Linked DNA regions of Mus musculus. The protein of the gene in region 1 interacts with the protein of each later gene in a pairwise test. Links are inferred from orthologs where the notes say so. Each region holds a gene or a part of one and is shown in the gene's direction. Other genes may lie near its edges. The genes, in order: Sdcbp, Srsf11, Pycrl, Kctd9, Hnrnpc, Tmem239 and Abi2.

Region 1 (4,234 bases):
ATTTTTGTTATTTGCTAAAATTTTCTTTTCTTTTCCAGGCTCAAACTGCTTATTCTGCCAATCCCGCCAGCCAAGCATTTGTTCTGGTGGATGCTTCTGCTGCTCTCCCTCCAGATGGAAGTAGGTTTATACTTTGCTCTTGGTGGGGTGGAGGGACAGAGATAAATATAAAGGCCTTCTTCTCCCCTGAAATTCAGAATCTGGGATTTTGTTTTGACATGTTATGGTTTTTTTTTTTGAAGAAATACTTGTTTAATTAAGAGTGATCTTTGCTCTTGTGAGACTATGCCGGGGCCTAGCAAACACAGAAGTGGATGCTCACAGTCAGCTAATGGATGGATCACAGGGCTCCCAATAGAGGAGCTAGAGAAAGTACCCAAGGAGCTAAAGGGATCTGCAACCCTATAGGTGGAACAACAATATGAACTAACCAGTACCCCCGGGAGCTCATGTCTCTAGCTGCATATGTATCAAAAGATGGCCTAGTCGGCCATCACTGGAAAGAGAGGCCCATTGGTCAGGCAAACTTTATATGCCCCAGTACAGGGGAACGCCAGGGCCAAAAAGGGGGAGTGGGTGGGTAGGGGAGTGGGGGGGTGGGTATGGGGGACTTTTGGGATAGCATTGGAAATGTAAACGAGGAAAATACCTAATTAAAAAAAAAAGAGTGATCTTTGAGTATGAAGGTGAGTCTTAGGGCATAATAAAATTCTTAGTTTGATTCATAATCTTTAACATAGTCTGTTCATTAGTGGGAAACACACTCTTCCATGGGACTACAGTTTTCCCAACTGCCGCTCTCTCCCGCATCCATCCTGAAATGCCTCTTTCTTACTTTGCCGGGGAACTCAGGAAGTTTCCAACTGTCTTCTTTTTGGGATATTTTTCAAAACTAGGAGTTGCTGTTCAGACTGGATAAACCATAGCCTGTCCTCCTTCCACCCTGAATCAGAGGCTTCAGGATAGAGCCTCTCTGTAAGACATGAAGAGACTAAGGAAATGATTAACTTAAGTCCCGGTGGCCTTACCTCTTCTCATGCCATCTCTTCACTTTATTCTTTGTAATGACTCTACTCTGAAATCAAAATAGATCATAGAAAAAGATTTTGGAAGAAGCTCACTTCAAAAAAAAGTTAACTAGTAATGTTTAAACCGTCTGTTTGTCTCATTTCGTTAGAATAAGCCTGTCAATCTTAAAGTGGTAGGACAGAGTCCATCCCAGGCTTTGACATTGTCCCCTATTACTTGAGGGAACCATCCCATCCTGTCCCATCGCTGTGTGTGGAGTGAGTTAAGTGGCTGAGGCACTAAACACTTCGGGGATTCTGAACTGAAGAGTCCGTGCCATAACCCCCCCAATTTTCTAAGGTTTTAGGATTATGTTAAAAAAGAGGGGGGGCAAGGTCATTTATTTGGAAAATTATTTTTACCTTTGAGTAGTTACCTCTCTGTGTCTTTTATTTCCATTTCTATATTTTATATTTGTACTGTGAACTTTTTTGCTATTTTTCTTAAGAGAAATCAGCAGCTCTCAGTGTTGAGTGGTATTGTGTAGGATGAGTCTCCAGCAGGGGTCAAAAGCAGACCGCATGACTCGCACAGGTCTACTGATGGCTAGATGACCGTCAGCTTTTAAGGTCTTGCTATCTAGCCTTGGCTGGTCTCAGATTTGTGGTAATCCTCCTGCTTCTGCCTCATAACTGGAGTCTGGGCTTAAGCCCATGTTGCCACCATGGCCAGCTTGAGACCATTTTAAATGAGGATTTGGACACCTGCACACTATGGTGGTCTGTGGTGGGTCCTGAAGTGCACCATGGCCGCAGACGGTGACTCTGGGTTAGAAAGCTAAGACGGCTTCGGATGGGTTTCAGAGGTTAGGGCTTTTGCATTCAAGTGGTTGTGGATTTTTTCATTCTAATTGTGTCAGAGATGGGAAGATATCCTTCCATTTTATGCATCTAAATCTTTGTGCCTTATTTTTTTTTTAAATTGAACACAGCAAGTTCATACTAAGTTGTTATTTTGAATATTCTGCCAATGCCTTTTTCTTTGTTTATATTAGATCTGTATCCTAAACTGTATCCAGAGCTCTCTCAATACATGGGACTGTCTTTAAATGAAGCTGAAATATGTGAGAGCATGCCCATGGTCTCTGGAGCACCAGCACAAGGGGTATGTACAGTCTGATCTTAAGTCCCACAAAATGTCCTTTATACATAGGTGTAAACCCATTTATAGGAAACTCACATGTTCATAACTTTAGGGTTGAACTGTCCTAAGATTATAAAATTCTTTCTAGAAGTATTTCTGAACATTGTCATCCACTGGTGAATTGATTAGGTCTTTGTCTTGTGCATTTTATCCTTCCCTAACCCGGCCCCTGCCGGGTTTCTGAGTTACTTTTATCCTTTCTAGCTGTATAACTGCACTGAGGTTTGGAATTCTGACATAGAGTTACTAAGTAGTACAATTATTTCTTAACATATTTCACAGCAAGTCTTGTTCCAGACATAATTTCATTCTGGATAGGTTAGTCACTTGAAGTATATAACTGACATATTATTTTGCTCACGTTCTTAATATTCCTCCTCCTGTAATTAGAAGCCATTTTTATTTTTATTTTTTTGTAATTAGACTGAGATTCTAGGTTTGAATGTAGCACATAGCTCTTGCAGTAATTATAGTTACAAGCTTCATGACTGAATCCACTTCTATCCTCTTGCTACTGCTTATGCAGTACCTGGCTTTTATATGTTGAAACTTCAATATTTATTGAAAGCTAACTTGCATTACTTATGGTCTTGACTGGTAAATTAGTTAATCTGCTTTGGCTCCTGGCAGGTCATGCTTCAGCTACCTGCCAGAGCTGTCTAGATTCTCGAATGAAAGACACACACACACACACACACACAGAGAGAGAGAGAGAGAGAGAGAGAGAGAGAGAGAGAGAGAGAGAGAGAGAGAGAGAGAGAGCGCATTATTTTTAATATGTCTAACTTGCTCAGTGGCTAGACACTTTCAAACCTCCCCGAGGTTGGGGCTAGCACATTCTCTCTTCTAACATTCCTGAATCGACTTGCTAAATGAGTGTTTCATCTCTGCTACCCAAGACCCAATTGAGAGAGCAAGCCTTGGACCACTTTCCCCCTTACATGCTGGTTCCTTTCTTTCCTGTAGCTCTTAGTCTGATCCCTCTGCTTCCCCGTCATGGCAGTTCTCCTCTCCTTACCCTCTCTCTCTCCCTTCTTTCTCAGTCTCCGGCTTGCACACAATCTTCTAATCTAAATGTCCCGCCTCCATCGCTCTGTCCAGCCATTGGTTATTATCAGTGCATGACTTTGGGAGCCAAAATAAGACAGAACATTAGAACTGATTCTCAACAATTATCCAGTTGATAAAACGGTATTTCAGCTGAAGTGATTTGAGAAATTAGATAAATGGTCAAAGATTTTCAAAGGAAAAAGTAGAACCCAGATAGAAGTGGCGAAAGCCAGCTGCTGCCCTAGGATGGAGTGGATCAGTGCTGGGGCCAGAACGCTTAGGGATGCAGCCTGTTGCAGCTTGGACCTAGGGGAGGGGTTCTAATAGTTGCAGCCTCGGAGCGGCTAGGCAAGTTGTAAGACGTGGCTCAGTGGCTACAGTGCTTGCTGCTATGCCAGAAGACAGCCCCAGAGGATATGACATCTTCAGGCATCCACAGAAGTGGCAAATACAGACATATAGATGAATTATATAAAAATAAATCTTAAAAAATTTAAAGTAAAAAATGTAAAGTCAACCAACAGTAAAGTAAAAAGAGGCATGGAGAAAACAAAAATGCTAGTTGCTATGTTTATAGAAAATTTATCTTCTAACAAAGAAAAAAAGCCAATTATAGCTATTATTTCAGTGTATCTGACTTCCTTTGCCCAGGTCTGTATACTTTGATCCCTTTATGTGAGCATCATACAAGTGTCCCCTCCCCATTTGTACATTTCTTGCTTTGAAGGTAATCTGAAGTTACTTTAGAAGTATCTGCATTTATAAGGCTCTGTGGTATACTCTGTTCTTATTCTATCGTTTTGTTTACTTAATTTGTTCTGCACATTTCTCTTAGCATATATTTCACTTAGTACATAATTCACTTCACATACCGTGTAGTTTTTGCTTTTGTGTTCCACTTAGTTTTTCCCCCCAGCTTTATACAGAAGGTATACAGCTTTATACAGCTTTATACAGAAGGTATACTGTACCA
Region 2 (4,234 bases), on another chromosome or scaffold:
CTTTCCTTCTTTTAATTTTTACAAAATTTGTATGGTAGGTGTAAAGAAAATCATAGTAACTGTACCATATTATTAACCCCTAAATCAAACTTTTTTTGTCTTGTGTATCTTGATTTTTCTGTGTGCTTTATAGTGAAGCAGCCGACACGAGTCGTTGTTCATAAAACAGCTTTTGAAAGTTGAGAGCACACCCCTGGAGAACCGACTGTGCTTGCTTACGTTTGGTTCATGACTTAAAAATCGAGTACAGGTGATGAAATCTTGGCAGTGTTAACAAAACAGTAGTGTGTATTGTGCTATTTTTTTTTACTCTAGAAACTTAACCATTGTAGAGAAAAAGGAAACAAATTTTCACACATTGAAGTTTCATTCTGACATAAAATTAATGATAAATAATCATAGAGATCAAACTTTATATTTTAGCGAACATAAGTACTTTCAACAAACTCAGGTGGTGTATCAGGGAGACATTTTCTGGGTGTTTTTGTGTGTTTTCTGTCTTCAAAGAGAGTGTGTTCTCATGCAAGGATGTTTCTCTGCAGGAGTTATTCCTGATGAGACTAAGGCTTTGTCTCTATTGGCACCAGCTAATGCAGTGGCAGGTCTTCTGCCTGGTGGTGGACTCCTGCCTACCCCCAACCCACTTACCCAGGTATGGCCCCATTGAATTTAGAAAGGGTATGTTTAGTGTTTGAGGTAGTATTTGACAATAGACGACTTCAGCACATGAATGGAAAGTCAGACTGCCTCTGTAAGACTTTGCATGTTTGTGTTGATTTAATTGTGGTTTAACTAAAACTTCTGTCAAGAAGACAGGATCTTGGCAGTGTAAATCAGGAAAAAAAAAGGGGGGATGATTAGGGAATAAGAGTTACCATACATCTAATGAGTGACTAGCAGTCCTGTGAGGAACAGTGCTGCACAACAGGAACACAAACATTTTGACCAGAGGACTTATTTAGTATTGAGATTTGTACTTGATAATGCTAAAACTGGGAGAACAGGATATGGGGGCTTCCAAAAGAAGCCTCTACCTTAGTATCCAAACAGACAGTAGACAGCATGCATAAATGACAGCAGCCAGAAGAAAAGTACTTAGGGTCCTGTCATCATAGCACAGAGCTGGTTTTCATTGAGGATGCAATTAGTACTTAAGGCTATATTGAGAGGGCCATTTCTCTTTATAGATCATAGAGAATTAATGTTTTATAAGAAAATGAGAGGTTGACCATCATATGGACAGGTGTGAGGAACTACAAACCACAACCCTCATTTCTGTTGATATATTTTTACTGGGACATAATTATGTCCAGTTTTTAGATAGTTTATACAGCAGAATTTGAACCATGGCAGTAGTACTTTTATAAATGAAAAAGTTAGTGTCTAGCCCAATACTGAAAGTTAAAGATGTTTTATATAATAAACCCTTACCTGTTGCAGATTGGCGCTGTTCCCCTGGCTGCGTTGGGAGCTCCAGCTCTTGATCCTGCCCTTGCTGCTCTTGGGCTTCCAGGAACAAACTTGAACTCTCAGGTATATCTTACTACCTTTCATTTGTGAGCTTGTGTTTGTAGGGTATTATTTCATTAAACCTTGGTTTGCATTTCAAAGCAAGGGTTAGCTGATTGTGTTGTAATCTTTTTACTCTGTTGACTTATTTGAAAGAGATTTTTAAATGACCACTGAATTACATCAGTCATTAATCCTTGACACATTTAGAGAATATTTTGTTTCTTGGAGTTTGTACTTTTTAGAGATGTTCTGTTACTCTAAGGAGTTTCAGATTTTCTATTTTAAGTCTTTAGAATAAGCAAGAGCTGATCCTAATAAACCCAGACTGCTCAGCCTTACTCTTGATAATTTGCTTCCCTCCTCTTCTATAGGCTTAGCCACAAAGTTACCCATTGTTAGAATTCATAATTTGCATTTTACCTTTTTGCCATGGATATACACAAAGCATTGCACTTTATAGGTTGCCAGTTTGTCCCACAACTTTTCAAGAAACTTAAAATAACAGTCACTTATTGCTGTGTGTTCATTGTCTTTTTTTTTTTTTTTTTTTTTTAGTCCCTTGCTGCAGACCAGCTATTGAAACTTATGAGTACTGTTGATCCCAAGTAAGCTTTCTCATTTGTATTTGTCTCTTTTGGTTTTATACTGTATAACTGTCAAAAGAACACTTACTTTTGTTTTCTTCTTGAGGTACATATAATATAGTTTTATATGTAATATATTTTATATCTGTGTAATATAGTTTTGCCATATGTTCACTATGTGGTCAAGCCTGAACTCAAATTCCTGTCCAAGTGCTGGGATTCCAGGCATAGACCACTATACCAAGTTAAGAATAGTTTCTCTGTTATATATTACATTGTAGAACAGTTACAGTTAACAGAAAAAAAAAATTAGCTATTCCTAGGACATGCTTGGTGTATAATTATAGATTATATTGTAGAAACAAGAAAGGGAATCCAAAAATAAGGGTTTTGAATGTTTCCTAATAGTTGTGAGTGGCTTGTTATAGTGTGAAAGTTGTATTTTGATGATTTATACAAAATACACATTGGAGCCCATGCATGGTGGTGCACATCTTCAATATCATCAGTTGAGGGACAGAGGCAGGTGGATCTCTGTAAGTTCGAGGCCAGCCTGGTCTATAGACTGGCGACATAATAACCTGACTCCAAAAAAAAAAATCAATAAAAAGCACAAAGGATTTCTGTAATCAATATTAAGCATTTATTGTGGCAAAGTACGTACATTGAAATGGGAAACATATAGAAGTGCCAGGGGGAGGGACCACAGAGAAAAAAATCTTGGGTTTTAGATCAGAGTCTGGGCCCTGAGGGAGGTAGAAATTGGAGAAGGGGGCTGGAGAGATAGCTCAGTGGTTAAGAGCACTGACTGCTCTTCCAGAGGTCCTGAGTTCAATTCCCAGCAACCACATGGTGGCTCACAACCATCTATAATGGGATCCAATGCCATCTTCTGGTGTGTCTGAAGACAGCTACAGTGTATTCGTCATATATATGAAATAAATTAAAAAAAAAAGAAATTGGAGAAGGAAGAATATATTAGGGGACTAACACTACCATGTCTTATAGGTACTTTTACCCCAGTACTTAGAATTCTTTTCTCCTTGATAGATAACAGATTTGTGGGGCTTTTTCCAATGTAGCCTAATTTGGAGGTAGTCAACATCACTATTAGTGAGTAGAGGAACATTGCAGGACAAAGGACATGGCTTAGTTGATTAATATCCCCACAGCCCAGCATATTAGTAGCACCAATACATAATGGGCTCTTATGCTCACTCTCATATAGCCTTGGCTGAGATCAGGCTAGCTATCCTAGAGCTCATAGAGATCTGCTTCCCTCTGCCTCTTGTGTGGTAGGATTAATGAGTGTACTACCACACCCAGCACTCTTTCAAAAAAACTTGTTTTGTTTTGTTTTGTTTTTTTTAAATCTGTTTAGCGCAGTGGTGTGCATGCATACAAGCTACAGTGTGTATTCGGGTTAGGACGGTTTTAAGGAGGTTCACAGTCATTAGACTTAACAGCAATAGCCTTTGCCTGCTGGGTCTCAAGGGCCATTTGTGCCTGTTCTTGATGACATCCCTCTCCACTGATAACTGAGGTTGTCTAATTTATTGGATTTGTTTTTGCTTTTTCCCTTGCATGTGTAAGCACTTAAACACAGATCATTACCTTTTGTGGTTAAGATTTCATGTGTAAGTTTATGAGCTATTGACCAATGCCTTAGTTTCTTCCCATCTGTAGTCTAATACGTAATGCTTTCCCCTAAATCCTATGGTGAAAGGTTAACTTGAGCATCAATATGTTCTCTTATACTAGCATTTTCCAAAATAAGTATTTTCTTACTCCAGGTCTCTGTAAGCATTGAAAGTGGCACTTCACTGCATGCTGCTTATTAAAATGGTGGTTCCCGGTATTTTGCTTTCAAGGATTATTTACAAATAATGATGGTATGTGAAACATACCTGTTTACTTGAAATGGAAGCTTAAATTTTAAACTGTTTTCTTGCTCCAGATTGAATCATGTAGCAGCTGGTCTTGTTTCACCAAGTCTGAAGTCAGACACCTCTAGTAAAGAAATAGAGGAAGCCATGAAGAGAGTGCGTGAAGCCCAGTCCCTGATTTCTGCCGCTATTGAGCCAGGTAAAATGCTCATACACATGTTAAATTTTAGTTCTTGGTAAAGCTGGTAATGG
Region 3 (3,332 bases), on another chromosome or scaffold:
CATAGATGCAGTGTGTGTCTTATGTAGGGTGGGTGTGGACACTCATTAGGAGGGAAGGTTCTAGAAGGCACAACTTAAGAGTTTGAGGAGCAGGGCCTGTTGGGTTTGTCGTAGGCGTTGGAGAGTACAGCAAGTACAGACATTGGTGACCCACGGGATACGGAATGGTCGATGGCACGCAGGTCAGCCTGTGTAGGATGCTGCCTCACACAGCCTCATTTCTGGCCCTTGTGTCTCTTTAGGCTCTGGGTTGCCAGACTACTCACTCCAACCATGAGGTGCTGCAAAACTGCCCACTTGTCATCTTTGCCACCAAACCCCAAGTCCTGCCAACTGTCCTGGCGGAAGTGGCCCCCATAGTCACCACTGAGCACATCATCGTATCTGTGGCTGCTGGGATCTCTCTGAGCACAATGGAGGGGGTGAGTGGCCCCTTGGTGTGAGTAAGGCCTTGACTCTGAAACAGGATCTGTGGCCCATACTTGGGAAGGAGATAGCATCCCAACCAAGCACCAGAAGTTAGCCAGTTGGCTCACCAGGGTTCAGTGGCTGGGATAATGTTCTGCCAAGGTACCTGGGCAGTGGGGATAGAGGCTGCATTTGCCTGACGCTGAATTCTCTCCTATCCAGCTGTTACCCCCGAACACACGAGTATTGCGAGTCTCTCCCAATCTACCCTGCGTTGTCCAGGAGGGGGCCATGGTGATGGCCCGGGGCCACCATGCTGGGAACGATGACGCAGAGCTCCTACAGAACTTGCTGGAAGCCTGTGGGCAGTGCATAGAGGTTCCCGAGTCCTACGTAGATATCCACACCGGTCTCAGTGGCAGTGGTGTGGCCTTTGTGAGTATTGTCTCAGAGTCAAGCCTTGGGGGCTTCAAATGATCCCCCTGTGAGCTCTGCTGTCCCTCAGAACATCATGTTTTATTGGACCATCGAGGCTGGCTCCTTTACCAAACTCTTGGGTATAGGCCTTATAGTCTAGGTATCTGTGACCATGTTTAGGGCCGTGTTTCTTGTGATTCTGAGCTAGTGGTTCTCAACCTTCCTAACGCTGTGACCCTTTAATACAGTTCCTCATGGTGTGGTGACCCCCCCCCCCAAGCAAAAAAATTATTTTTGTTGCTACTTCACAACTGTAATTTTGCTACCATTATAAATTATAATGTAAATATCTGTGTTTTCTGATGGTCTCAGGCCACCCCTGTAAAAGGATTGTTCAACTCCCAAAGGGGTTGATAGGCATTTTCTCTCCCTTGGTGACACACAGGCCAGATTAGACCAGATTAAAATGAAATAAAGGCAGATTTATTAGGAGGCAGCTCTCCAGGTGAGTTAGTCAATCTCACAGGTAGAGGTCAGTAAAGTCACACATCCAGGCTAATCAAGCAAGAGGGTTTTACAGAGCTTAGGCGAAGCACGATGACATGCCAGCTAGGAGCTGGGCTTGTGTCCATAGCATCCGAGGTCAAAAACTGAGCCCTTGGGTGGGCACTCGTGGGTGGGTTGCCAGAAGTGGAGAGACAAGGAGTAATGACATGTTTCCGGATGAAGGAGTTTTCTGTGTGGGTGGGATTGGAGGAAGGAGAACACAGACATGCGATTTCCCAGCTTGCACGGGTGGGCAAGCAGGGGTTCCAGCCTAACGGAGTCACGAGCCACAGGTTGAGAACCGCTATTCTGAGCATTCTCTAGCTGTGAACTGTGTCTAGCAAAAGGTCAACTTTGACATGACCCCTCCCCACTCCCAATGCTGTTGCTACAGGTGTGTACATTTTCAGAGGCCCTGGCTGAAGGTGCCATCAAAATGGGCATGCCCAGTGGCCTGGCCCACCGCATTGCTGCTCAGACCCTGCTGGTGAGTGAAGCCTTTCCTCGGGAGAATGTCGGGAAGGTTTGAGTGTGAGCTGTCTCCAGCGAACTGGAAGACGAGCCTGTGGAGTCCAGACAGGCTGGGAAAATGTGCAGCTGCCTCCCCTCTTTTTTCTCTCACTGCCCTTAACTCTCCTCCTTAGGGGACAGCCAAGATGCTGCAGCAGGAAGGGAAGCACCCAGCCCAGCTTCGGACAGATGTGCTCACACCAGCTGGAACCACCATCCATGGGTTGCATGCCCTAGAGCGGGGCGGTTTTCGAGCGGCTACCATGAGTGCGGTGGAAGCAGCTACCTGCCGGGCTAAGGAGCTCAGCAAGAAGTAAGGCAGGCCTCAGATGAGACTACGGGCTCCTTGCCCAGCTGCAGCCTCTGTGGTGAGAATAGCCCTGGACGGGAGATGTAGTGGGCAGTCCTCTAAGTGGAATGGCTAATTTATCCAAGAAGCGGTGACTACTTGTAAGATGCTATCAAGACGGGGTTGCCTTGACTGTGACATTCAGTCAAGGAAGAATCGCTTGCCCCTTACCTGAGATTCCAGATCCTCCCTTCTGCACCTCCTGGCCAGTTGCAGTTGTGTCCTCATGGTCACAGGAGCTGGTAGAATATGTCTCCTGTGGAGGTGGTAGACATCATCCTCCATGCTGGCGTGAGACGTCTTTGGTTGTGGCTGCTTTGGGATCACCCACACTCCGTAAGCAGCGCCCCGTCCATATTCTCTAAGCCCAATAAACTCATTGGTTCTCTAAGTTGGACTTTAGTAGAGTTGTACTTTGGTTTGGTACCGTATAAAGAGAGGGTAAATATTTATATTTCCTCAAGGAGAATTCCTACAATACTGGGCACTAGCCTCCTTGCTTCTCTAGGTCACCTTCATCTTCCTATTGTCCCACCTCTAAGGACCATGGGGTCTCTGTCCATCATGCAACTGTTTTCACTTCCTCTACACTTGGAAACAGTATCCCGGTCTGCAGGCCTCCTTACCCCACAGTGGCAATAACCCTACTGACATAATTGGTAATGTCCGGTCTCCAGTGCCTGAAAGCTGGCCTGGATTTTGGAAGCAACAAAGCATCTTCTGCTAGCTACTGATCCTGGTCTGGAGCCCTGGCCCTCCTCTTGAATTTCCGTGGGACTTCTCAAAAGCCAGTGGTCACACTCATGAGGATAGGGATGGGAATGGCAGAGGAATAGATGCCACTTGCTGCAGAAGTTCCCTCCCTCTCCATGAACCCAGAGCCTTGGCCCATAGGAGGAGAGAGTCCCCAGTGGAAGCTGGGAAACCCACCTGAGCAAGCATGCCCTTCCACAGTTGAGAAGCTACAACCACATGGCTCCTGTTGCAGAGGTAAGTCAAGGGGAAGAGCTGAGCTGGATATAGGCTGCTTCCTTACTGGACCTAAGCCGGCTCTATGGCAGGTAGAGCTTGAGTCTCCAGAATTCTGGCTTGGGTCAGGAGT
Region 4 (4,234 bases), on another chromosome or scaffold:
TAATTTCTAAAGTGCCCAGCAGCTAATTATTTGAGAAAGCACTCCAATAATTTATTTAGAAGTAAAGAGTTCAAGACAAAAGTTGCCTGTGGCTTCAGTCATGTATTTTGAACATAAATTAGTGCATTCTTCAATTAATATATGCCAAATTCATAAATTTTGATAGTGAGTTTTTGGTTTGTTCCATTTAAAAAATACTTTGATATGCAGAATCAATTGTGTTTGATTTTTAGACCTGGTCAGGTTTAAACAGAGCCCTGGAGACAGTTTCCTTGGAGGCAGGTTGGTGACAAGGCTTGTCATGTGTAGCTCTGAGGAGCAGCTCAGACGAGCCGTCAGTTAACAAGCGTGCTTTCTGCTTTTGACTGTGGCTTTTCCGTTCTGGCTTTCCCAGGGATGATGATGTGCTGTTTGTGTGTGAAGGAGAGCCGTTTATTGGTAAGTGACTTTACCTATCTTTTCTTGCCACAGTAACAAACATGAAACAGTAAATAGCTTTACAAGGAACTGTATGACTTAACATTGAAAACATCATGATGACTAAACTCAGGTCTTCACATTTTTTTTTATTCTTCAATGAGTTTATGTCAAATTACATAGTTATACATAAGAATTATAATTATAGTCTATATATTTCCTCCTTTACGTGCTTTTAAGATATCCTAGATATGTACGTTTGTGACCTAGGACATGATAAGATAATTTTGATTTTAGAAATAATTTTCTTTGAAAGCAATGGCTAGCGTTTCTTTAGTATTATATTACTTACTTGTAGCCATGTTTTCCTTGCATAGTGTTTGACAGTCCTTTACTGCCGATCAGATCTTAACATGAAAACATGACTTGGCTTCAGCCACTATCCTTTCATTTGGAAGAAAGCCTATATATTTGAGTATCTCTAAAGAAAAGACCTAATACATAAGTAGGCAACTATTCTTTAACGACTATTTAGTTTGTTCTGTATATTCACCCATGGGTGTGTGTTTAAGTGTTTAAAGCATTACTGTCATTGTATTGGATGAGTAGAGGAGATCCTTAGGAGTCTTTGCTTAGGCAGTAGCCACATTAAAAGGAAGTGTTCTGGCATGTTGGTACTTGCTTAGGAAGCAGAGGCAGGTGGATCTCTGTGAGGTCCAGGATAGCCTGATTTACATAGTGAGCTCCAGGCCAGCCAAGGCTACATTGTAAGACTCTTGTCTCAAAGAAAAAAAAAAACAAAAACCAATAACAAAATAAATGTATAGCGTCTTCTACTTCCATCTTAAACTATGAGCAAATCTTTTCTCCATCATGTACCCACTGGCCTGATTGAAAGCTTATTTTTGCAGGCTAGTCATAAAAAAATCATTCATTAAGTAATAATAAATAATTAGACTAGGGTTTAATCCAGTGGTAGAACCAGTGTCTGCTATGTATAGAGATCTGAGTTCAGTTCCCTAACCTACTCCCCCCCACCCCCCGCAAAAGTAACAACAGTTCTGCTAGGATTTTGTTTATTCCTGTGACTTCTTGGACTCAGAAATATTTGATAAGCTTTCATCCTCTACATGTACTGATGTCTCATGTGTCTCATTCGGTCAGTGGAAACCTACTCGTTTTTAACTCAATGTCACTAGCCTTTCATGGTTCCTTTACCTCTAGTGTAATAAGGTGTTCATCTTTTTCTCTTTTGTTACAGACATGGAACATTATTGTTATGACTTAATGTCATGTTCAAGATACAGTCTGGTTATAATTGTTATAAGGCCTTTTGATGACTAGAGTTGGAGATATATAAGTAGCTAGAGATAAAATTTACATGTTATGCTGTATATTGTAAAGTTTATAACTTGAGATGTTTATGTTCTATAATATGATATAAAATATCTCATGGTTCATGCTGGATCTTTCAGGGTCTATTCAGGATTATAAGGTTTTTGCTTACCTTCTTGACTTTCTTGACTTTCTTTCCTATCTTCCATATTTGTAACCCTGATTTCCAAGAATTCAGAGAGTGATAGAATTATAATATCACATCCACTCTATCCCACTCAAAAACCACATAAAACTTCAGAGGAACAATTAATATTTCAATACTAATAGGGTCTTCCAGCAGCTTAACATATTTTGTCTAGTCTCCTGCCTCCATCTCTGTGTTAAAACGGTTGAGTTTCTACATTGTCAAGAGGTACATCAGTCATGTACTGACTGTCCCTCCTTCCCCAGTGCACTAGTGCTCATCTTCAGTGCTTGTGCCGTTCTTTCTAGTGATTGAAAGTACTCTGAGATTCTTCCCAGAGTCTTTGTAACCAATTTTCTCTGGCATCTTGCAATCTAGACAGTTTGTCTCCACTTGAAAGTCAGATGTAGAATCACATCAAAGTTTATCGAATTATAAACTTTAAGTATGTACATTTATGTCAGCTTTACAAAGAAGCACTTAAAAAATTATTGGCCCACACTTTCCTTTTTTGGGTATTGTAAGTAAGTTATTTCACTTTGTTATGACATAAAGGATGGCATCAAGAAATCTGGTCTCACGTGACTATTCCTGATCACCCAAAGGACTTCCTTCTCTTAGACTAGCAGCTTTGTGGACTCTTTCTTGGGTTGTATCTTCATGGTTGTCTTGGAACTTTGGTAGATTCATATGAGGTTTTGCTTTGAGAAATTATTTTACTATCTTCCCAGAATCTTTAATCTTAATATTTCTATTATTTTTTACTTGTCATCTCTAGATCCTCAGACAGATGCTAGACCACCTGGAGGATTGCTAGGATCCCACACAGACTGGCTCACATTAAATGTAGGAGGACGATACTTCACAACAACAAGGTAGGTAGTATGTGCGTATGCATGCGTGTGTGTGTGTGTGTGTGTGTGTGTGTGTGTGTGTGTGTGTGAAAGGGCAAAACAGAATAAACAGGACTGTGTACTGATTCCTTCAATTTTTCAATTTCCTTACAAGATTTTCAAATGCTTCCTAAAAATATGTGGATGAAACCATTTTTAGAAAGTTTTAAAGAAAAAATTTAAGTGAAGTTAACCTTTCATTTCAGAGAAAGCATAAATAAAGCATCAATTCAGCTTTACAGTTTGCTTTTTAGATGTAGTGGTAAACCAACTGCACATAGAAATTAGCAATATTTCTAGAAACAACAATGTATTGATCAGATAATATAAGATCAAGAATATTGTAATAAAATGTCTTGCTAGTATTTAAATAAAAAAGATTATAATGCAGCATGAAATCAAAGGAATGGCCAGATCAGAAGGGATTTTGGCAACTTACTGCACATTTTTGTTTCCCAGCATCACCCTACCAGGTTGTAGCATGCATCTCTTTGAGAGAACAGCTGAACTCAAGTGTACTCTTGACTTAAATATGTTTGTTTGTAAAGACACATGAAGAAATCAATTTTTTTCCCTGAATTCTTAGGAGCACTTTAGTGAATAAAGAGCCTGACAGTATGCTGGCGCACATGTTCAAGGACAAAGGTCAGTAGGACTTGTTCTCACTTTTTTGTGGTCCATTTTTATCTGAGCTGACTTTGTAACTGGCGTGGGATCAAATCGTTTTTATGGCAGTAAAGACATGATGGTATATTATGTGACTTTTTTTTGGTTTGTTCTACAAATTCTGACTTTGTTTTTGTTTATGGGGGGATTTTCTTTATTAAAATGGTATCACAGGTGTCTGGGGAAATAAGCAAGATCATAGAGGAGCATTCTTAATTGACCGAAGTCCTGAGTACTTTGAACCTATTTTGAACTACTTACGTCATGGACAGCTCATTGTAAATGATGGCATTAACTTATTGGGTAAGTATTTCACAGGCATGGGAGTACTGTAAGTATGGCAGTGTAGGTATCAGGATGGATAGGTAGTCTTTCTGGCTGAGTATCTTTGCTTATATGTTTCTTTAGCCCACAAATTTTTTATTTGGATTCTAAGTAGATTTAAGTTCTATCACAGGGGACTTTTATAGGTTGGTATTGTTTCTTTGGATTAAATGACTGTTTCTTCACTTTAAGTTCTGGACTTATTATTATTTGAATAGTGAGGTCACAAGGAAGAAAGAGTTGATTTGGGCTTACAGTTCCACAGGAAGAGTCCATCAAGGCAGGAAGGCGTGGCAGCAGGCAGCTGGAGCAGGAGGCTGGGAGAGCACATGAAGTAGAAGGAACCCTGGAAATGACACCAACCGGACTATAAACTCTCAAAGCTTTCCTCCAGCAAGGCTCTATTTTCTAA
Region 5 (4,234 bases), on another chromosome or scaffold:
TGTGAGCCACCATGTGGTTGCTGGGATTTGAACTCTGGACCTTCAGAAGAGCAGTCGGGTGCTCTTACCCACTGAGCCATCTCACCAGCCCCTTTTCTTTCTTTTTTTTTTTTGTTGTTGTTGTGTTGTTGTTTTGTTTTGGTTTTTTTTTTGTTTTGTTTTGTCTCTTTTTTTGTATTTAAGTTCTTAACTGCATAGTTTATGGTGATTTCTAAAAGTTTGAAATACTCAGTCCTCACACTAGTAAGTTATCTCTTAGTTCTTAATTTTACATTTATTTGTACACAGTAAAATGGTGAAATTTATGCCTCTTTGTTGAAGAAATTTTTAGGTTTTCCTCTTTGTATTGGCTTGTTTCCTTTTAATTTAGCATGTTCCTTTTTATGCTTTTAGCATGTTTTTGTAGTTCTGGCAGATCTAGTGTAGTACTACTTTCTAGAAATGGGGAAGTGAGATTTTTTTTTAATCTTTTATTTAGGATGGCATAATGTCTCTGGGTAAGGCACTTGATGTCAAGCCTAAAACCTGAGTTCAATATTTGGACCCCACAATGTTGAAGAGAAGAAATAACATAGGTTTTACTGTGGCCTCCATATGCATATTTTGGCTGGTGTGCATATCATTTTATTTCACAAATTCTGTACAGTGTCTTGCTATTATCCACCCCAAATGTATGCAGTTGTATATGTTTTCTTTTACTTGCTTAAAAATATAAAAACATATAAAAATATGTTCCTTGGGCATATTAGACTTATTTTGCCACAGATCTCAGTTGTAGCCCTTTTATGTGTTTCAGTCAATGCTTTATAGGTTAGAATTTTTCAAGCAACACATACACAGAATCACTAACACTGTTAACTGCTTTGCTTCTATTAGTTTCCCACAGGTTCACTTAATCCTGAAACTTCTTGGGGGTAGGAGTGTATGGGTTAAGACAGGTTTTCTAGCCCTTGCTGTTCTGAAACTTACTATGTTGACCACATTGGCTTCAAGCTCCAATTGTGTTGCAATTAAAGCTGTGTGCCATCGTTTCTGGTCCAAGTTTCTTTTAAAAAGCAAGTTTGAATGTATTAAAACTACATAACTTTCTCTGGTTGCTGGTCTTGTTAGTTCTGTCTGTCCTTGAACTTGGCCTGCTTCTGCTGGGAATAAAATGTATAGCCTCTGGAACTTGAAAGTTTTAATATTCTCTGGGTTATTTTCATGGTTAGTGTCTGCCCTATGTTTCGTTGGCCATGCTAGTTGGGCCTAATACAATCTAAGGAAAAAATCCGTTTGTATTATTTTTGTTTTGGTTTGGTTTTTTGAGACAGAGTTTCTCTGTATAGCCCGTTTGTATTATTTATATAATCTTTATCTCCATACTAAAATACAAATGCTGACCAGTTCCCAAGATAAAACCATTATCCACTGCTGGTAGAGTACAAAAAATCAAAGAGAAAATGTTATGTTAGGACATTTTGGAATCTGACAGTCCAAAAAGGAAAGCTAGCTCTGTAAAGCTTAACCTTTTCTAAGTGAGGAGGAGAGCTAATATTACTAAGATTAGTCATTAGATAACAAAAGGCCTAGGTTTGCTTTGCTGGGGAATGAAAATACATACATACATACATACATACATACATACATACATACATACGCACGTGGGTTTTGGTTTTGGGCTTCAGAGACATTTCAGATGGTTGTGAGCCACCATGTGGTTGCTGGGATTTGAACTCAGGACCTCTAGAAAAGCAATCAGTGCTCTTAACTGCTGAGCCATCTCTCCAGCCTGGTTTTTGTTTCTTTTAACTCCTGTTGGGCTTTGTTTTCCTTTTTTCCAGATATTAACCTGGCTGCAGAGCCAAAAGTGAACCGAGGAAAAGCAGGTGTGAAACGATCTGCAGCGGAGATGTACGGGTCAGTACCAGAACACCCTTCTCCGTCCCCTCTACTCAGGTCCGGAACTTTATTATTTATAACTGCATTGTGTCCATCAGTGGGCATCTTCTCTGTGTTTTCTGGATGTGGGGAGGGTTAATGCAATGTGCTTTCTATGTGCAAAAGTGTAATTCTTATTAACTTGTGTTAGCATACTTCCCTTTGGGTCTGTTTTCAGATTTTTGTTGTTTAGGAATAATTCTATGTGTGTGTGTAGTACAAAATGAGGAATTGGTTAGTTTCTAGGAAGCTAGAAAATAAGGGCATTGTGGTGTAACAACTATTGTATTGCTTCTTCGCTGTTGCTAAATTAATCACTGCATGTCCAGTGGTCTTAAGATTACATGGAGGGCAAATGATTTCGTTGAATGAATGGGGATTATTTGTTGCTAATCTTACTGATCTATTTGTTGTGGTTTGTTTGGCCTGTTTTCACCCCACCTGCCTGTTGAATTAACAACAGCAGCTCCAAAATAATCTTTTGAAATTTATCTTTCAGTTCCTCATTTGACTTGGACTATGACTTTCAACGGGATTATTATGACAGGTATGTATGAGGCTTCTCATATGTGTTTATGATGATAGTTAGAAAGCCAGGCACTGACTTTTTAAAGCAATAAAAAGATTCAAATGCTGCTTTCTTTTTTCTTTTTGTTTTTTTTTGTTTGTTTGTTTTTCAAGACAGGGTTTCTCTATGTAGCCCTGGCTGTCTTGGAACTCACTCTGTAGACCATGCTGGCCTCGAACTCAGAAATCCTCCTGTCTCTGCCTCCTGAGTGCTGGGATTAAAGGTGTGAGCCACCACGCCCAACTTCAAATGCTGCTTTTTATGCAAATAAAGTTAATACTTTACCACTATGATGTTTGGAAATACAAATGTCAGGTTTTCTTATGCTAAATAGAGATTGTTGAAGAAGGCATAAGAAAATTCACAAAATCCAATTTGTTTTATTCTTGTGTATTTTCCCACACAGTGATAAGTGCCTGCTAACAAAGTGAGAGGACAAAACACATTGCATATGTACCACAGCAGGGAGAGTCAGAGAATTTTCTTTTCTTATAGGAAACAGTACATTAGTAGCCAAACATAGCATGCATCACAGACATATACTTTATAAGTTTGTGCCTGGTTCTTCCTCCCAGCTCCATGGTCCTTAAGTAAGACTCACACTCAATATATTTACAATACCTTGGCCTTATAGCTAGGCTCTTCTCTGACTAGATCATAACTTATGACCCATTTACTCTAACCTACATTCTGCTATCTGTCTGGCTACCTTTGCTCAAGTGCCATGTGTCCATTGTCACATCTTCCTAAGCAATTCCTTGTGCCTCATATTATCCTAGAATCCTTTCTGTCTGCTGGATGTCTTACCGCCTATTTCCTATTCGATAGGCCAACAGATTTACTATTAATAGATACTACATATATATACAGACATAAGATATTTTCTCTATTTGTGAGGTTAAGCTCTTATATCTACCTCCCAACAACTGGAATTAGAGGTATAGTTACCATTTCTAGCTCTATTTACAATATTCAAATTTTTTTCTCCCTTGTGTTTGGTTTTACTCTTTGTAGCACTTTTTTTTTTTTTTTTTTTTTTTTGGAGACAGGGTTTCTCTGTGAAGCCCTGGCTCTTAACATTTCCTCTAATACACTGTAATTTCCTGGCTTTTGTTTTAAGAGACTACCTCTAACTCTAGCTGGCCTTGAACCCACTGAGTTTGCCTCAGGGATTTAAGGTTAGCACTGTCCCGCTCTTTTTTTTGAAAAACAATGACAAGCTTGGAAGTCTTAGGGATTGAGATAAAAACATCCTGAATTCAGGTACTAGGAAGATTCTAACCGATACTTTGCCCCAACCCTAAATTGGACCTCTGACGAAAGAACACTAATATTGAAAAGATCTCAAAGGACAGTGAGACATGCATAATAAGCAATGCTATTTTTTTTTCTTTAGATTTATTGTGGGCTGGAGAGATGGCTCAGTGGTTAAGAGCACTGCTGCTCTTCCAGAGGCCCTGAGTTCATTTCCCAGCAAACACATGGTGGCTCACAACCATCTTTTGGTGTGTCTGAAAACAGCTACTGTGCACTCATAAATACAAGTAAATCTTTTAAAATGTATATTAGTGCTCTATCTGCATGTATGCCTGAATGCCAGAAGGGGGCATCAGGTCCCAGTACAGATGGTTGTGAACCACCACGTGGTTGCCAGGAATTGAACTCAGAACCTCTGGAAGAACATTTGGTGCTCTTAACCCCTGAGCCATCTCTCCAATAATGCTAAATTTTTTTAGTGCTTGGGCT
Region 6 (3,895 bases), on another chromosome or scaffold:
CAGAGTCTGGAGAATGTTCTGGAAGATGCAGAAGTCCAAGCAGCTGTTGTGTTAGCATGCTTTCCTGACATCCCAAGACTGGTGGGAAGTCCCTGGTGCAGAGAATTACTGGCAAGGTGAGTGGGTGAGTTGAGTCTTAGTTCTCAGAAAACACTGATTTGTTACTGAGCCCCACCTAGGCCACCAGTGCTTATGAGGCAAAGCAAACTGTTGTCCTGTCCTTAATTCAAGGTCCTCCCTGATAATAGGTCACAATGCCCCAGAGTGTCCAAATCTAGAATGGTCACCCAAGTGGGAGGAGGTGAGGAGAGTTGGTGAAGATGTGGGGTGGGAGTGGGGGGAGGGAGATCCCCAAAAAGCTTAGTTCCTTACTCACAGAGCTAACCCTTGAGTGTCTGCCAAGGCCCTCCTCTCTTCCCTGATCCCTAATCTCTTAGCACTAGGTCTTCCTAATAACCTCTAGGACCCAGCTCAGCTCACCCTTGCCCTTCTAAAGCCATCCCACTCCTTCCCAGGGGTCTGGATCCTGGAGAGGGACTGAGTAGGGTCAGCGAGTCATGTGCCCCCCCTGGGACTTCAGCCAGGCCCAGCTCCTGGACAGTATCCTAGGGCTGGGGGCACTAGGAGTGACAATTCGAACCATCTTCTCAACGGCTGGCCTAGCCCTGCTGCTCCTGTTGCTGACCAGCTTCCTTGTTTTTGACCTGCTCTATGGGTAAGTGCCACCTGTCAGATAGGTGTCACAAACACAAATGAGCAATTGCCTCGAGCTGCCATCTTCTCTCTCCACAGGCCCACAGGTGCCAACCTGCCACGACACAGACTTCTCCCAATGGGTCAGAGCCAGGGGGCTGGTGAAGGCCCAGGACAGCAAGCAGCTCCCCTCTCTCCAACAAAGATGGCCTCGGGACTGCTCAGCCTGCAGGATGCGCTGCTCCTGCTGTTCCTGGGCCTGCGCCTGTTCTTGGGAGGCTCTGGTATACCCTTAGCCATGCTGGGCCTAGCTTTCTGTATCCATCCTTGGGCCTGAGGGCCCTCCTAAAGCTGAATGCCTTCTGAAAATACAACATCCAATCTGCTCTCTCAGATTTCTTCTCTTCCATCCTGAGCTACATGAGGGTAAGGTTGTGTGATAAGGACAGAATACTCCATCATATTCAGCTTGAACCTCAGGGCCTTCTAGTTCCACAATGTGGACATTTGAGAACTGTCAAAGGCATATTACCTTTGCCTGAAGCTTAGGGCATTAAGAGAAGGCAGAGAAAAGGGTAGTTACAGCAACCAACTCCAGCCATGGGGTTGGAAGCAGCCATCAAGGAGGGACAGGTGTGGGGAAGGCTTCCTACAAGAAGAAGAATGGTAGGCTTGCTGGGCTCTCCTGCTAGCCTGGAGGGACCATTAAGTAAAGGACATAAGTGACTCTCACACTATGCAGTAGCTCCTCTCTTGGCTGAGCCCCACCCCAGTCCGGGTCATAATGCACTCCTCTGGGGATGGTGGGGCAGGCGAGGGAGAGACTGGGATCTGGCTGCCAGGCCAGCCTAGACACAACAGGAAGCACCATGACTTAGGTGGCTCTGCCCAAAGGTAAGTCCTAGGCCCCAGTTCAAAGTCCAATCCTGCCCATGCTGGTATCCCCCTGACCCCTGCATGCCCACCTATCCAGAGGTCCTGGGCATCTTAAGGGCTGCCCCCTGCAGCTGGCCTGGCCCTGTCCACAGGTGCACCAGCCGTGATGCAGCAGCCACGAGTGGAGTCGGATATCATCGGGGCTGGCGAGGGGCCCCAGCGGGCAGTGCCCTGGTCAGCCTGGATCATCCGTCAGGACTGGGTGCGCTGGTGGGTATGCCACATACCTCGGAGCTGGACCCAGTGGTGGAATACATCAGGCTGGCGGCAACCACTACAGCGGATGCTGTGGGGTCTGGAGGGGACACTCTACCTGCTGCTGGCACTGATGCTATGTCACGCACTCTTCACCACGGGCTCCTACCTGCTGAGCTCGCTATGGCCCGTGGTGGCTGTGATGTGGAGCCACCTGCTGCCAGCAATCCTGCTGCTTGTGCTCAGTGCCCTGCCTGCTCTGCTCTTCGCAGCCTCCTTCCTGCTGCTCTTTTCCACACTGCTGAGCCTCGTGGGCCTGCTCACCTCCATGACTCAACCAGGCTACGCTCAGGACTTGGACCAATAGAAGGGCAACCCCATCTTACTGCTTGTGTCTGTTGAGCCCTGGCCTAGGGCCTGAGCCCCGTGGGGAGGGGGGCAGTGGAACTTCAACAGACCTCAGACCCCCCCCCCCCCAATCACAAATACAAGTGGGGGTCTGGCTTCTGGGCATCTACCTTAAACCCACATTGGTGTCAGGAACAGGACAGACAGTTTAGCCAGGAGCAAGAGCTTGGACCAACCACTGAGAGCACCCGTATGGATGTGGTAACATCACTTGGTCTTCCTGGCAGAATCTTTTAGTCACATCACCTCAGCCCTACCAGCTTCAGGCTTCCTGAGAATTTCCACCTACATACCCCTGGACTTGTCTGGATTTGTCCCGGATCCTCTCTTTCTACTTCCAGGAGGAACACACACTCTGGAATGGGTCTCACTGCCAGGACGATAGCTAGGGATCTCACCTCACTCACCTCTCAGAAATGGGAAAGAGGCCAATCATGATAGTGTGTGTGTGTGTGTGTGTGTGTGTGTGTGTGTGTGGACCCAAGGCTTTGTGCATAAGCATACACTCCACCCTACACACTCTTATTTTTTTTTTAAGAATCTCCAGGTCTGTTACAAAAAAAATCAAAGTCCTGTTTCAGCCTCCTACATCTTGGCTGATTCACTACTTTTGAACCTTGGTGTTAAGTGAGCCCCAATGCTTTCATGGGTTTGTTATGATCAAAAGTCAGTATCTATTTGCAAAATACTTTGCTGCTGTTGTTGTTTTGAAACAGGGTCTCATGAAGCCCAGGATGGCTTTGAACTATTTAGCTGAGGTGACTTTGAATTTCGGATCCTATTGTCTCTATGTCCAGGGTACTGGAATTAAAACTTGTGCCACCATGCCTGATTTTATGAAAAGTATTTGGTAAGGCCAAACAGCAGTTAAGATGTTTTGAGCTCTAAAAACATATAAGTTCAAAAGGCCTTTTGATTCAGAAGCTAAGAGATTAAATTTCTCTAGGCTTCTACAGAAACTCTGTCACTCATGGAATCCCAGCCCTAAAACAGTTGACACGGAATAGGCAGTGTGGTGAGATGTGCAAGGTGTGTGTCTCAAGCTAGGCAGACACTGGACTGTATGATCTGTGTAATGCTCGAGGCTGGAGCCTGGTGCCAGGGAACTTGTGCAATGCTGTGCTCATGGAAAAAGGAAAGCGCAGAGATTTGCAGGATTGATTAAGCAGGCTGCTTCCACCAGAGGGCTTTGGACCACCCAGGCTCCCCTGGCGTTTGGCCATTTACCTAGCGCTGAGCCTTCCAAACAAAGCTGTGAGTATCAGTTACCAAGTCAAGTGACAGACATGTTAGCCGATCTGCCCCCAGCTGGGGCCCAGACTTCAGTCCTCATCCACTGCTGACCTCTACCCAATCCCTGCTGCTTCCCAGCTCTTTATCTGGTTTAAATCTAACCTGAAAATCATTGCTTCTGAAGCCCTCTAAACACTCGTGCACCTTGAGCCATGGTTCATTTTGGCCAAAGCCTGACAGAGTTTTGAACTCTGTGTTCCTGGTAGACATCTTCATACTGGTAGATAGCTTCAGTGCCTAAAACCCCAAACCAGTGCTTCATTTTGTAGTTCCCCCTGCAGTGCGGCTGTGTGTCAAGGCCAGACATAGGGATGTTACTCCATTAATGATCTATTCCTCATCTGCTATCTGCTTCTCTCAATCTCTCTCT
Region 7 (4,234 bases), on another chromosome or scaffold:
GCAGCTGTATACAGGGATTTATGCTTTAGAAAGTGACTTCACATCAGTTTTTTCATTTTTCTGTGCAATTTTTCATTTTCTTGGAGTGATTGAATCAGGGATGTACCCTCTCTGCTTTGTAATTGAGAAATGGTGACTCTTGTAGTTTATATTAATGATGGCACTAACATACAGGGTTTCTGAATCAGAAACATGGATTAGCTTTATTATACACCACAGAATCTTCCTGTAGGTGGCAAAATAAAATATGTTGGTCTGCAGTAACCTGGAAAATAGTCATTTGGTTACTTCTTGCTGCATAATCCCTGTTTTTCAAATAAGGCTTCTGGGTTGTGGAAGTTGTGAGATAGGTGCTACTGACTGCTAAGAAAGGGCCGACATTGGCAATTTCTACCCCATAAGGCTGTCTCTTAAATGACATGAGAACAGAGTAGCCTCGCATTTTAATTTTATAATTATTTTTATTATCAGACATTTTATTTATCATTATTAATACTTTGATCAAACACATTTTGTGTGTGAGAATAAAAGGAAATCAAGAGAAAGTAGAATAAGTATTTGTGCATTCATGTCAGTGCTGCCGAAGGAGTTAAATTGGGAAGATGTGTATGTGCTGTCATTGCTCAAAGTATACACTGGAACTCAGATTTTAAATACTAGCTTTAGAACTTTATTTGTACTTACATAAAAATGTATATATAAAAATGTATAGTTATCTTGAAAATATCAGTGAGCTCATTAAATCATTTAGTTTTGGAATTGTGTAACAATGATGTTTTTCAGAATATTTTAAACTTGGTATAGGTTTAGTAGCATTGTGGTTTAAATGACTAAGTTAGTTTGCTAGAAGTTAATTATCTTTAAATTGAAGGTCACTATTTTCCTCCTTCACAGTCACCAGATAAGCAGCGAGCCCTAGAAGAAACCAAAGCCTACACCACTCAATCCTTAGCAAGTGTTGCGTATCTGATAAACACCTTGGCCAACAATGTCCTACAGATGCTGGATATCCAGGCATCACAGTTACGGAGGATGGAGTCTTCAATCAACCATATTTCACAAGTGAGACCATGTTCAGTTTGTTTGCCTATGAGCAACACACAGCTTGTTGACTTGCCTTTGTTGTGCAGGTTAATGTGCATGTATTTGCAACATATTAACTTAGTATTGCATTGTTTATGATTCTTTTTGTGATGTTATCTTTTTTAATTTAATTTTTTAATATATTGTTTTACTTACTCACTTTATGTCCTGCTGTGATGTTATTATCTTTATAGTTTGACAGAAAAGTAAATTTTGATGGATTTTATTAAAACTCAGTTGCCACAGTCACATAATCACTCCTGAAGTGAAAAATTATTTTGGTATTTTATTTTATTTTTGGTTTTTTTGAGACAGGGTTTTTCTGTGTCACTCTGGCTGTCCTTGAACTCACGGAGATCCACCTGCCTCTTTGTCCTGAGTGCTGGAATTAAAAAGAAGTGCACCACTACCACCCAGGTTTTTTTTTTTTTTTTTTTTTTTTGACAGATTTTTGTTTGTTTGTTTGTTTGTTTGGTGTCTTTATTGCCTTAAAAATAATGATTTGATAGCTTGGTGGCTAATTTAATTTTTTTCTCCTGTCAGTAGGCTTTTAAAATTCCCCTTTGGTGGTTTAGTCAGTGTTTTATTCCTGTGAGAATAGTGTCTCATGTTGAGCACAGCAATTCTTATAAAGGGAAGCATTTGATTGGAGCTGGCTTACAGTTCAGAGGTTTAGTCTTTTATCACCATGGTGGGAAGTACAGTGGCAGACAGTCAGACATAGTGCTGGAGAGTAGCTATGAGCTCTGTATCCAGATAATAATGAAAAGTAGTTAATGACACTAAATATCTGTTCTTTGGCAGTGTCTTAGAGATCCACTGTAATGAGGCCCCATGACCCAAAGCAACTTGGGGAGGGAAGGATTTATTTTACTTATACTTACTTATCTCAGTTCATCATTGGAGACAGAGCAAGAACTCAAACGCTGGGGCAGAGGCTTAGAGGGGAGCTGCTTACTGACTTGCTCCTCTTGGCTTGCTCAGCCTGCTTTCTTATAGAACCCAGGACGTGGCAACAGCCCGATCTTACGGAGACATTTTCCTCAATTGCGGTTGCCTTCTCTCAGATGACTTCAGCTTATGTCAAGTTAACATAAAGTCTAGCCAGTGTAGGCAGTCACAGTTGTTACTTGAGTAAGTAATGCAAGAAACTAGTTAGAAGTTTTTCTAGATCTCTGGTATTTGATCTTGGCAATTCTACCCTCAGGGAGATGCTTGGCAACATTAGACAGTTTGGCTTATTTCAGAGTGGGGAAGTATTATAGGTTATGTCTACCCATCACAGCACAGTAACGGATATGACTCAAGTTTGACTCAAGTCAGTTATCTTTCTGTTGTATTGCCTTAAAAATATTTGTTACTTATAGATTACAAAATTATAACTTATGTGAAATGCTATATTAGTGTTTCATGAGAAATGTATTATTTGTTAGCAAATAATTAAAGAATATAAATAAAAATATTATTTGTACTATGAATGTGAGCACTTGATAAATTCTAATGAAATATGTGATCAATGTTGTGTTAATAAGATGTAAGCAACTTGCTGAAGCTAACAAGCTTTTCTGTCAAATGATGGTTTTGAAGGGAGGAGGTGGATGCTGGGAATTACGTCAGGGACTTGTAAATGTTAGGCAAATGGTATACTCCCTCACTCTACCCCTTGATCCCCATTTGTAATATTTATATTTTAGTCTTGTTCCTTCTTTGTAGTATTTAAATAATATTAGATTATACTAATATGTTTTTTAAAAATATAACAAGACTATTCTCTGCTGTTTCTTTGTTTTTTGTTTTTATTGTTTGTTTTTTGAGATAGGGTCCCTCCACATAGTCCTGGCTGTCTTTGAACTCTCTATGTAGAGCAGGCAAGCTGGCCTCAAACTTAAAAGATCTATCTGCCTCAGCCTCTTAAGTGCTGGAATTAAAGTCATTTACCACCATGCCTGGCTTCTTATTTTATTTATATTAATTTATTTATTTTTCTTTTCTGTTGAAAATGATCACTCTGGCTTGGAGAAATGATTCAGTTGCTCCAGTCTTTGCTGCACATCCATAAGGCCTTGAGTTCTGTCCCCAAGCCCATGGAAAAAGATGGGTGTAGTGTGCACTTGGAATCTTCATGCCAGGCGGCAGAAACAAACAGGTGCCTGGGACTAGGTGGTCAGCCAGCTCAGACACATTAGTAAGACCTGTGTCCTAGTGGGAGACTCAAATAAACAAGGGAGGCAGCTTATGGAAAATGATACTCAAAGTGGACCTCTGGTTTCCATATGCACAAGCATGTATATACATATGTACACCCCTTCCATGTGAACACACACACTAGCACCTATATGTGTGTACATATTTGTATAGGTATTTGTGCAGACATGTACACATGCACATTCTAAGTTCTGCTCTTGTGGGCTGTAAAAATCAGGTGATGTTCCAGGTTATATTTGAAGGCATGCTTTGGTGACCCTTGCATTAGGTTAAAAATGAATAAAGACAATAGTCTAGAGAAAAGGTGGTTTATGAAATGAATACGAAGGATTGTTGAATCTCTAGGCATTTGGTTATTATTTATTTGGATACCAGGGCTATCTGTCTTTGTGTTGTCTTATTTATATTATATCTTACAGACAGTTGATATTCATAAAGAGAAGGTTGCAAGAAGAGAAATTGGTATTTTGACCACCAATAAAAACACTTCAAGGACCCATAAGATTATTGCGCCAGCCAACCTTGAGCGGCCAGTTCGTTATATTCGAAAACCTATTGACTACACAATTTTAGATGACATTGGACATGGAGTGAAGGTAGGTGTAGTTTCTGTCAAGCTTTCTAAAGCTCTAATGGAACCCTAGGAAATTAAAGTTCATTTAATTGCCTGAAGGACCAACTCTTGGCACAGTTGTGGTTGTGAAGGTTGCTTACTATTGTTGTGTCCTCCTTATGTTTTCTTTACTGTTACCTTTCAAACCAGTTATCTTCTAATGGTATTTGCTTAGTTAATCACTAGATCAATTAGCGTATGGTATAGTGGTTCTAATCTTTTAATGATTTAGTAATGATAGGAAAAAAATCCAGCATATTATTAAAATGTTTTTCTTATCTCAAAAATATGTCAGCAGATTTTTGGCATTAGTTTTCAGAACAGCATATGTTA

The links.
Region 2: the proteins of Sdcbp (region 1) and Srsf11 interact in binary tests that used the Homo sapiens proteins (3 or more experiments, as listed by UniProt). The two-hybrid records come from large-scale screens. The link is inferred for Mus musculus from reciprocal best matches to the Homo sapiens genes SDCBP and SRSF11.
Region 3: the proteins of Sdcbp (region 1) and Pycrl interact in binary tests that used the Homo sapiens proteins (3 or more experiments, as listed by UniProt). The two-hybrid records come from large-scale screens. The link is inferred for Mus musculus from reciprocal best matches to the Homo sapiens genes SDCBP and PYCR3.
Region 4: the proteins of Sdcbp (region 1) and Kctd9 interact in binary tests that used the Homo sapiens proteins (3 or more experiments, as listed by UniProt). The two-hybrid records come from large-scale screens. The link is inferred for Mus musculus from reciprocal best matches to the Homo sapiens genes SDCBP and KCTD9.
Region 5: the proteins of Sdcbp (region 1) and Hnrnpc interact in binary tests that used the Homo sapiens proteins (3 or more experiments, as listed by UniProt). The two-hybrid records come from large-scale screens. The link is inferred for Mus musculus from reciprocal best matches to the Homo sapiens genes SDCBP and HNRNPC.
Region 6: the proteins of Sdcbp (region 1) and Tmem239 interact in binary tests that used the Homo sapiens proteins (3 or more experiments, as listed by UniProt). The two-hybrid records come from large-scale screens. The link is inferred for Mus musculus from reciprocal best matches to the Homo sapiens genes SDCBP and TMEM239.
Region 7: the proteins of Sdcbp (region 1) and Abi2 interact in binary tests that used the Homo sapiens proteins (3 or more experiments, as listed by UniProt). The link is inferred for Mus musculus from reciprocal best matches to the Homo sapiens genes SDCBP and ABI2.

What each region holds. Positions count from the first base shown.
Region 1 is NC_000070.6:6,378,928-6,383,161, forward strand, and holds part of Sdcbp (syntenin-1), read left to right. Parts: intron 1-38; coding exon 39-120; intron 121-2,062; coding exon 2,063-2,172; intron 2,173-4,234. UniProt on the Homo sapiens protein: Multifunctional adapter protein involved in diverse array of functions including trafficking of transmembrane proteins, neuro and immunomodulation, exosome biogenesis, and tumorigenesis.
Region 2 is NC_000069.6:158,019,259-158,023,492, reverse strand, and holds part of Srsf11 (serine/arginine-rich splicing factor 11), read left to right. Parts: exon of another isoform or gene 1-385; coding exon of another isoform or gene 386-542; coding exon 543-652; intron 653-1,440; coding exon 1,441-1,533; intron 1,534-2,067; coding exon 2,068-2,117; intron 2,118-4,053; coding exon 4,054-4,181; intron 4,182-4,234. UniProt on the Homo sapiens protein: May function in pre-mRNA splicing.
Region 3 is NC_000081.6:75,915,763-75,919,094, reverse strand, and holds the end of Pycrl (pyrroline-5-carboxylate reductase 3), read left to right. Parts: intron 1-242; coding exon 243-422; intron 423-630; coding exon 631-843; intron 844-1,765; coding exon 1,766-1,858; intron 1,859-2,015; coding exon 2,016-2,198; 3' UTR 2,199-2,632; downstream 2,633-3,332.
Region 4 is NC_000080.6:67,725,933-67,730,166, forward strand, and holds part of Kctd9 (BTB/POZ domain-containing protein KCTD9), read left to right. Parts: intron 1-394; coding exon 395-438; intron 439-2,717; coding exon 2,718-2,814; intron 2,815-3,291; exon of another isoform or gene 3,292-3,418; coding exon 3,419-3,477; intron 3,478-3,672; coding exon 3,673-3,801; intron 3,802-4,234. UniProt on the Homo sapiens protein: Substrate-specific adapter of a BCR (BTB-CUL3-RBX1) E3 ubiquitin-protein ligase complex, which mediates the ubiquitination of target proteins, leading to their degradation by the proteasome.
Region 5 is NC_000080.6:52,079,493-52,083,726, reverse strand, and holds part of Hnrnpc (heterogeneous nuclear ribonucleoproteins C1/C2), read left to right. Parts: intron 1-1,823; coding exon 1,824-1,899; coding exon of another isoform or gene 1,900-1,938; intron 1,939-2,419; coding exon 2,420-2,467; intron 2,468-4,234. UniProt on the Homo sapiens protein: Binds pre-mRNA and nucleates the assembly of 40S hnRNP particles. Interacts with poly-U tracts in the 3'-UTR or 5'-UTR of mRNA and modulates the stability and the level of translation of bound mRNA molecules. Single HNRNPC tetramers bind 230-240 nucleotides.
Region 6 is NC_000068.7:130,404,989-130,408,883, forward strand, and holds Tmem239 (transmembrane protein 239), read left to right. Parts: upstream 1-1,533; 5' UTR 1,534-1,587; intron 1,588-1,721; 5' UTR 1,722-1,735; coding exon 1,736-2,191; 3' UTR 2,192-2,806; downstream 2,807-3,895. Other genes in the region: 1700020A23Rik (uncharacterized protein C20orf141 homolog), read left to right, coding at 558-715, 793-1,030.
Region 7 is NC_000067.6:60,433,349-60,437,582, forward strand, and holds part of Abi2 (abl interactor 2), read left to right. Parts: intron 1-894; coding exon 895-1,062; intron 1,063-3,707; coding exon 3,708-3,884; intron 3,885-4,234. UniProt on the Homo sapiens protein: Regulator of actin cytoskeleton dynamics underlying cell motility and adhesion. Functions as a component of the WAVE complex, which activates actin nucleating machinery Arp2/3 to drive lamellipodia formation.